Nothobranchius furzeri: one gene and its partner. The protein of the gene in region 1 interacts with the protein of each later gene in a pairwise test. Links are inferred from orthologs where the notes say so. Each region holds a gene or a part of one and is shown in the gene's direction. Other genes may lie near its edges.

Evidence for each region.
Region 2: the proteins of N-chimaerin (region 1) and hemk1 interact in binary tests that used the Homo sapiens proteins (3 or more experiments, as listed by UniProt). The two-hybrid records come from large-scale screens. The link is inferred for Nothobranchius furzeri from reciprocal best matches to the Homo sapiens genes CHN1 and HEMK1.

Annotation. Positions count from the first base shown.
Region 1 is NC_091754.1:46,223,504-46,227,003, forward strand, and holds part of N-chimaerin, read left to right. Parts: intron 1-1,205; coding exon 1,206-1,379; intron 1,380-2,591; coding exon 2,592-2,669; intron 2,670-2,747; coding exon 2,748-2,885; intron 2,886-3,500. UniProt on the Homo sapiens protein: GTPase-activating protein for p21-rac and a phorbol ester receptor. Involved in the assembly of neuronal locomotor circuits as a direct effector of EPHA4 in axon guidance.
Region 2 is NC_091743.1:64,712,729-64,716,989, reverse strand, and holds the start of hemk1 (MTRF1L release factor glutamine methyltransferase), read left to right. Parts: upstream 1-1,461; 5' UTR 1,462-1,613; coding exon 1,614-1,679; intron 1,680-4,261. Other genes in the region: GATOR1 complex protein NPRL2, read right to left, coding at 57-225, 300-391, 583-654. UniProt on the Homo sapiens protein: N5-glutamine methyltransferase responsible for the methylation of the glutamine residue in the universally conserved GGQ motif of the mitochondrial translation release factors MTRF1, MTRF1L, MRPL58/ICT1 and MTRFR.

The DNA of each region.
Region 1 (3,500 bases):
TTCCTCAGCCTTTTCCCCTCCCCCTACTTTGGACTGTGGTCTCTAGTTTTCCTTCACTCCTCAGAGCAGCGCCCTGCAGCCAGACAGGAACTGGTGGTGTTGGTTTTTCAAAATAAAGCAAATTTAATGGTTCATGACATTGAAATGCAGTTCAAACTCTGATTATGGTTAGTATAAGTGGCCAAATACAGGTTATATATGCATCTCATATGCTTTACGTCATTTTAACATTTATTAAATAACCTTGTCTGAAGGTGCGGCGGCACCACGGTCAGTTACAGAGGACTTTTCTGGTGTCTCAGACGTTTTACGTCTCATCCAAGAGGCGTCTTCAAAATCCTGGAGAAGGTCAGACACGCACGACCTGTGGTTAACTTCCTCCAGACCGAGTCTGGACTCGGAGTTGGACTCAAAACGAGGAACTGGAGTAGCGCCAGGCGATATGGCCTCAAATCTACTGTATATTGCGATATAATCTGAAGCATGTGTGGTAACGATATATATTGTGATATATTTTTTCCTTTGTTTATATATGTCAAAATGACATGCTTGTAAATATCCTCATGTGGCAAATATATGCCACTTGAGGCAAATAGGCTTCCTCCTCCGCCCACTCCATGCTTGCAGTCACTGCCATTCTGTTGTCCCAATGTAAGCAGGGTGCACATCTTAGTGATGCCATGTGTTATCGCGATATCGTGGTATTGCGATATAGCCAAAAACTCTATCGTTACCCAATTTTATATCGTTTCTACCTTATATCGTTTATATTGCCCACCCCTAAACTGGAGTCAGAATCACTCTGATTCAAATGATGATCTACTCTCCTAAAGAATAGCTAATGCTAGCTAGCAGTTTGCTGATCGTCAACAAAAACACGAGAAGGGAGAGAAATGTGTGGTGGTGAAGAGCTAAAGCCAGAGTGAGCATGGGGTGGTCTACACTTGTGGTGTTTTCCTTTGTGTCTGAGCAGCCAACACTCGTACGTTCATAGAGACCTGCTATCTGCTTCATCCAGTAGCAGCACACCTGTTTGGTGTTGCTGTAACTGTAGAGGATGGGTCGGTCTCCGCCAGGAAGAACCCAGTAAGCTAGTGGCTCCTCCTCTCCTGACTCATCTCCTCGCTGAAAGGGTCTCTCTGACAGACGGCGTGTTGATGTCAGCGTTTCACCTGGTCAACCTTGCTCTTTTGTTTCCCTGTCAGATTGTGGGCTGAATGTTCACAAGCAGTGCTCCAAAGTGGTTCCCAACGACTGCCAGCCGGACCTTCGGCACGTGAAGAAGGTGTACAGCTGCGACCTGACCACTCTGGTTAAAGCCCACAACACCAAGAGGCCCATGGTGGTCGACATGTGCATCCAGGAGATCGAAGCCAGAGGTGAGATGCCCCCATGGGGATCCGATCAGCTGCAGCCACATCCAGACACTGAGTCATGTTCGTCTGAACAATCAGCAGCAACTCTTGAAGTGGCTAACCTTTAACCTGTTGTGGCTGTTTCACCGCCGCTTCTGCTCTCATACTCCTTTTGTTCCTCAGTAAAAGTATTTTTGATAGAATAACCCTAAACCCTGCATGAATCTGCTGCAGGAGCTCAGGAGGTAGAGCGGCTTATGCAGTAATCAGAAGGTTGTAGGTTTGATCCCACCTGCCAGAGAATGCTGCTGTTGTGTCCTTGGGCAAGACACTTAACCCGCCTTACCTGCTGGCGGTGGTTAGGGTTAGGTGGCGCCTGTACTCAGCAGTCTTGCTTCCGACAGTACACCCCAGGGCAGCTGTGGCTACATCGTAGCTCATCAACACCAGCGGGCATTCGCTGGTGGTGATGGATTGTGAATCATCACAACACAATCATCGGGTGAATGATTGTGTTGTGGAGCGCCTTGGGGGGCTGCAGAACCCTAAGAAGGTGCTAGACAAATACAGGCCATTTACCAAAAAGGGGTGGGGCTTTCTCACCAGTTTCTCCAAAATTTCATTGAGTTCTTTCAGGTTTATTTGGCTAATCTTTGCTCAGTGGAACAGAGTACCACTACTAAAGAACAATGCACTCGTTTTTCCAAGCTACAGGCCACGCCCCCATAAAGAACAACTCCTGGGAGGCGTTTCAGTAAGCTACAGGCCACGCCCCCATAAAGAACAACACCTGGGAGGCGTTTCAGTAAGCTACAGGCCACGCCCCCATAAAGAACAACTCCTGGGAGGCGTTTCAGTAAGCTACAGGCCACGCCCCCATAAAGAACAACACCTGGGAGGCGTTTCAGTAAGCTACAGGCCACGCCCCATAAAGAACAACACCTGGGAGGCATTTCAGTAAGCTACAGGCCACACCCCCATAAAGAAAAACACCTGGGAGGCGTTTCAGTAAGCTACAGGCCACGCCCCCATAAAGAACAACACCCGGGAGTCGTTTCAGTAAGCTACAGGCCACGCCCCCATAAAGAACAACACCCGGGAGGCGTTTCAGTAAGCTACAGGCCACACCCCCATAAAGAACAACACCCGGGAGGCGTTTCAGTAAGCTACAGGCCACGCCCCCAAACAGAACAGCATCTGTGAGGCGTTTCAGTAACAAACCACTTCTTCTGGCAGGTCTTCAGTCAGAGGGTCTGTACAGAATCTCAGGCTTCAGTGAGCTGATAGAAGATGTCAAGTTAACCTTTGACAGAGGTGAGTGTTGCCCCCTGATGTCCATCATTATCAGTGTGGTTGATTGTTTTGGCTGAACTGAACTGAATTCCACTGCAGATGGAGAAAAGGCAGATATCTCCTCCAGCATTTACGAAGACATCAACATCATCACCGGCGCCCTGAAGTTGTACTTCAGAGAGCTTCCTATTCCTCTCATCACGTATGACGCCTACCCTCGCTTCATAGAAACAGGAAGTAGGTGGTTGGAAAACACCATCACTTCAGCGCCACATCATTACTAACACCTTTCGCATTAGCTCAGACAGGTGTACCATGTTCAACACCTTAGCATTAGCTAGGACAGGTGTACCATGTTAAACACCTTAGCATTAGCTAGGACAGGTGTACCATGTTAAACACCTTAGCATTAGCTAGGACAGGTGTACCATGTTAAACACCTTAGCATTAGCAAGGACAGGTGTACCATGTTAAACAGCTTAGCATTAGCTAGGACAGGTGTACCATGTTTTAACACCTTAGCATTAGCTAGGACAGGTGTGCCATGTTAAACACCTTAGCATTAGCAAGGACAGGTGTACCATGTTAAACACCTTAGCATTAGCTAGGACAGGTGTACCATGTTAAACACCTTAGCATTAGCTAGGACAGGTGTACCATGTTTTAACACCTTAGCATTAGCTAGGACAGGTGTACCATGTTTTAACACCTTAGCATTAGCTAGGTCAGGTGTACCATGTTTTAACACCTTAGCATTAGCCAGGACAGGTGTACCATGTTAAACACCTTAGCATTAGCTAGGACAGGTGTACCATGTTAAACACCTTAGCGTTAGCTAGGACAGGTGTGCCA
Region 2 (4,261 bases), on another chromosome or scaffold:
TAGATGTCTCACTGGAAAAGAAAGAAAAAGCAATCCCAGAACGCATTGCACATTACCTCCAGAGTTGTGAGGTACCCAGACAGCTTCTTGACGATTGGTTCAAGAGCGCACGTGTTGGTCTGAGCATCACAAACAAAACCGAGGTTAAACAGAAGGGCATTTCGACTATACTTTTTATGCTCGATGCACACCGGGCAGCCAATCAGCTTTTTATCCATCGCAGTCCTATAAAAAATAAAAAAATTGTGTCAGAAGTTTGACTTTAAAAAATATCAACTTAACAAGCATGGATTACATACACTGTAATTAATTTGTTTTGTAGTTCTGGTTTGGTGATAATGTAGACTTGAACAGTATCAAATAACTCTCTTGAAATGTATTCCTCTGGAACCTGTCAAAATATAAGTAAGGGGAAAGAACAAAGTCATATAAAGTAGATTGTTTAGCACGATATAATAAATAACACAAGAAACTCACAATATGGGTCAGACCAATAACAATCAAATAGAAGATTAGTACTCAGACGCAGGAAGAAAGCAAAGATTAACTTTGATTTCTACTATAACAAGCATGTTTACTTACCTGGTAGGTTATCTTTGGGCCCAGAGTAGGATGAAACTCACTAAAAAATATACACTCTATTCGAGTGGCCATGTCTGTGATAAGCTCCAACCAGGGTTTTAAATGTGGTTGTTAAAAATAACTTCACCTGAATGCTGTCAGAGAGACAGCCTCCTCTCCTCTTTAACTACAACAGAACAAGCTAGCTGTTAGCTTTTACGTCGAAAAAGAAGCAAATGCGAGCCTTTTGAATTATTTTTAAAAACTACCGCACGGAATAGGAAACAATTAATGTGAATATTTAGTTAAAAGCGTACTTGCACTGGTGAAAATGTTATGAAGTGAGACTTTGAGCTGCTTGAATGAGCTACTCAAACAGATATGGAGGACAACAACAATGCTGCATTCACGGACTGTACGGAAGCTGCAGCTTCTCGTGTTTGCAACAAATATAGCTTGAATACAGTTTTTTTGTTTTATAAGATTGACGTTCAGTCCATGAAATCATCATTTTGATAAAAAACTTGTTGTAAAAATTACATTCTGACTAAAAATAACTTTAAAATGTGAATTTAGATACGCGAACACGAATAAATGATAGTTTACAGCTCTATTTACCGTGAACCATTCACATTCATTGTGTGTGTGTGTGTGTTTTGTCATTAAAACACATGTTTAAATGTCCAAGTCTCCGTGCTACGGCATGTTATTACAATTGTGTATCATAATACTGCAGCAACATTTTAAATTTACAACAGTTCCAAAGCAAACGCCGTCTTGCGCATATTGCGCAACTGCGCCGGATGCGGAAACATTTCTGAGTCACGTGACCTTCGAAACGATTTTCAATGCACGCGACCTGCTCAGTCAATCAGTGTTATTTGTTTCCTACAAATTATCATATTTCCTATGCAGTCGCGCAAAATTGTCCAGGAGAATGAAGGAATTATTTACGCGTTCTGTAATACAGCTCCTGTGAGTAGAAGAGGGACAGAGTTGAGCTTAACTGAGCTGTAGGTGAATGAATAAAAGTTCTTATTTTGTTTAAAACGATGTGGACAAGATTGCTGAATACAAGCTACAGATGTTTTGGAGTCAGGGGGAGTGGTGGACCAAAGGTAACTGCACGTGAAAACGAGGACAATGTTTTTAGTCTGCTAAATTGCTTATGTTAAAAATAACTGCATGCATCTTGCATTATTGGATTATGTCGACTATACAAGCTGTTTCATGTCTGACTAATAGAAGATAAACTCTTATGGTTGTGCTGAAACTCCACATGAAGTACTGAAAAGTAACAACAAAGTAGCATCATCATCCATTCACATGTGAGCTGCACCAATTCCGATTTTTGGGCCAGTTCCTTTTTCCGATAATGGTATCGCTCTGGCGAGCTAATGAGGATATTTCAAAGATCTTGAAGTTATGAAATAGTTTTTTGGGGTGTGTATTTTCCCTGGCGATAGTGGGCAGTACATACCTAAATCATTGCAAGCAAGCACTATTTTTGTGTTCGAGTAAGACCATATAAACGGAAGGCCATTAGGGTCAAAAATCCCTTGGAGTGCAATTTTCAAATGAGTACTTTGTCAGATCGTTTAACTGCCAGCAAAATGACAAGCACATCAGACTACCTTTCATCACTGGAAACGAGTGAAGAGGTAAATGTGTAAAACAACTTTAGGAATGGCGAAAGTTTTATAACCGTTTGTTGCAAATGTGTATTGCCCTCACGGGCTCCCACAGAAGGACATATTGCATCTAATATGGCATCCCCCAGAGACTTGGACCCGCTCCCATGTATTTTAGACCCCATTTTTTTAATGGTTATATGTTATGATGCTGCCAATATTTTTCAACAACCGGGCATCATTTAAATGATTTTCAGCCAAATTTTGATGGATATTTACAAAGATTAATGATAAAAACTGCACATTGTCACTTTAACCATTCTGGAAGACCTGGATGTTAGTAACCGTATTGACCGGGGAATCTGGTTGTGATGGTGAGTTCATGAACAAGGGTACATTCTGTTGAATTTCTTAACAATAGTGTGTTCACAGACTTAGGTTGGTCACCAATTAGAAGGGTTATGCTAAATACTGGCCAAGAATGGTGGAATTTATGTTCATTGTAGGTGTGTGTATTGGCAAGAATCTGGTGTTATGGTATACATCACTATATGGTGGAGATGATGCAATATATTGTGATACTAAAAGCCAGACAATCTTTGCAATTATTAAGACTGAAGTTCATAGAAAAACTCATCCTGTGTTATTGTGAGTTTTGTAAAATAAATAAATAAATAAACTGCTGCCACCTAGCAGTCAAAGTTTGAATTGCACCGCACAAAAGAAATATAGTGAATGTTTGCATGTAGATTATCAATAAAATATTTATACACTGCTTTTAAAGGCAAACTTGGCAGTTTTGGCTTGATTTTAGCACCCCCTTGTGTCTGTTTGTAGAACCGAAAGTAAAACATATCTCCTCGCTGTGCGTTTGTCTTTTTAACACCTAATCTAACAGCTGAAATGTCTCCCCAGCCTTCCTTAGTTTCTACAGGATTGGTTAATCACTAAATCATACCAAACAGCAGTGCTCATGATCTAAAACATGCAAGAAACATGCTGCTTTTAAGTATAGATTCAGTATCATAACATGAAATATTGCAATATTTCAGTGAATCAATATTTTTCTTACATTTCTTGTAAAAAATACAAATCTGATTAGAGTAAACTATAGTAACGATAATAATAATCAGAATGAGGTGTCACCTTAACAATACAACCTTTTATATGTTTTATTAAGTTTATCACAATAAATTGTGTGGTGAAGCCGTGATCAAAACATCCAGCTGTCCGATCCACTTTGAGGCTTCCACTAGGTGTGGAGCGGATGCGGATCGGAATTTGTCTTTCTTCCCAGAAGACCAAAAGTCGTTGAGTCCAATCATAGCGTTCACTCTGGCTGGGGTACGGGGCCGGATGCAGAGCTGCAGAATCTTTCCATGCAGTTTCTGTTTTTTTCTGGACACCGCATGCAAATCGTCATGAAGTTGAAGAAATGACATGAGACAGACAGGAAGTGAGGCGTGTTTCAGAAAGGTGCATTGGTTTTTTTTCCAAAATGAAACCTGTGCCGTATCATTCTTCCGGCTTCTTCTTCTCTTATTGATGACAGGGATATTGGTTCACAGATTATGAAGGTTTGAGAAGACGGGTCTGGCTTTTGATTACTAACTTGTTTCTACAAGCGTTGTTGTTATCGCGTGAACTCGTGAGCAACGTTCCAGAGACGTTCTGCTCTCAATCCGTAGCCGATGTTGATGGCTGTCCACGCGAAAGCCGCGTGGACTCGAGTCTGCACTCGATGTGAAGAAGGAGGCCTGACCTTTTCAGGCTCAGATCGGTGCAGATGCATTTCTGAACAAAATTACAAGCACAGGATTCAATCACCATAAAATAAATAAAAACAAACTAAAAGCAAGTCAGCAAAAAATTATAAATATAAAAGTATAGCACTGTGGAAACTATAGAATCTTGCACTATTTATAAAGAGGTAGATGTTGTTTCTCTGTATAAAAGAGCTAAATAAGCTGTGTAGTATGCTTTTGTGCAAACAGAGATATCTGTTATTTTCTTACATATCCTCCGTTTTGATGCTCCCCCTTCAACTACCTCTCCTTTCACTCTACTCT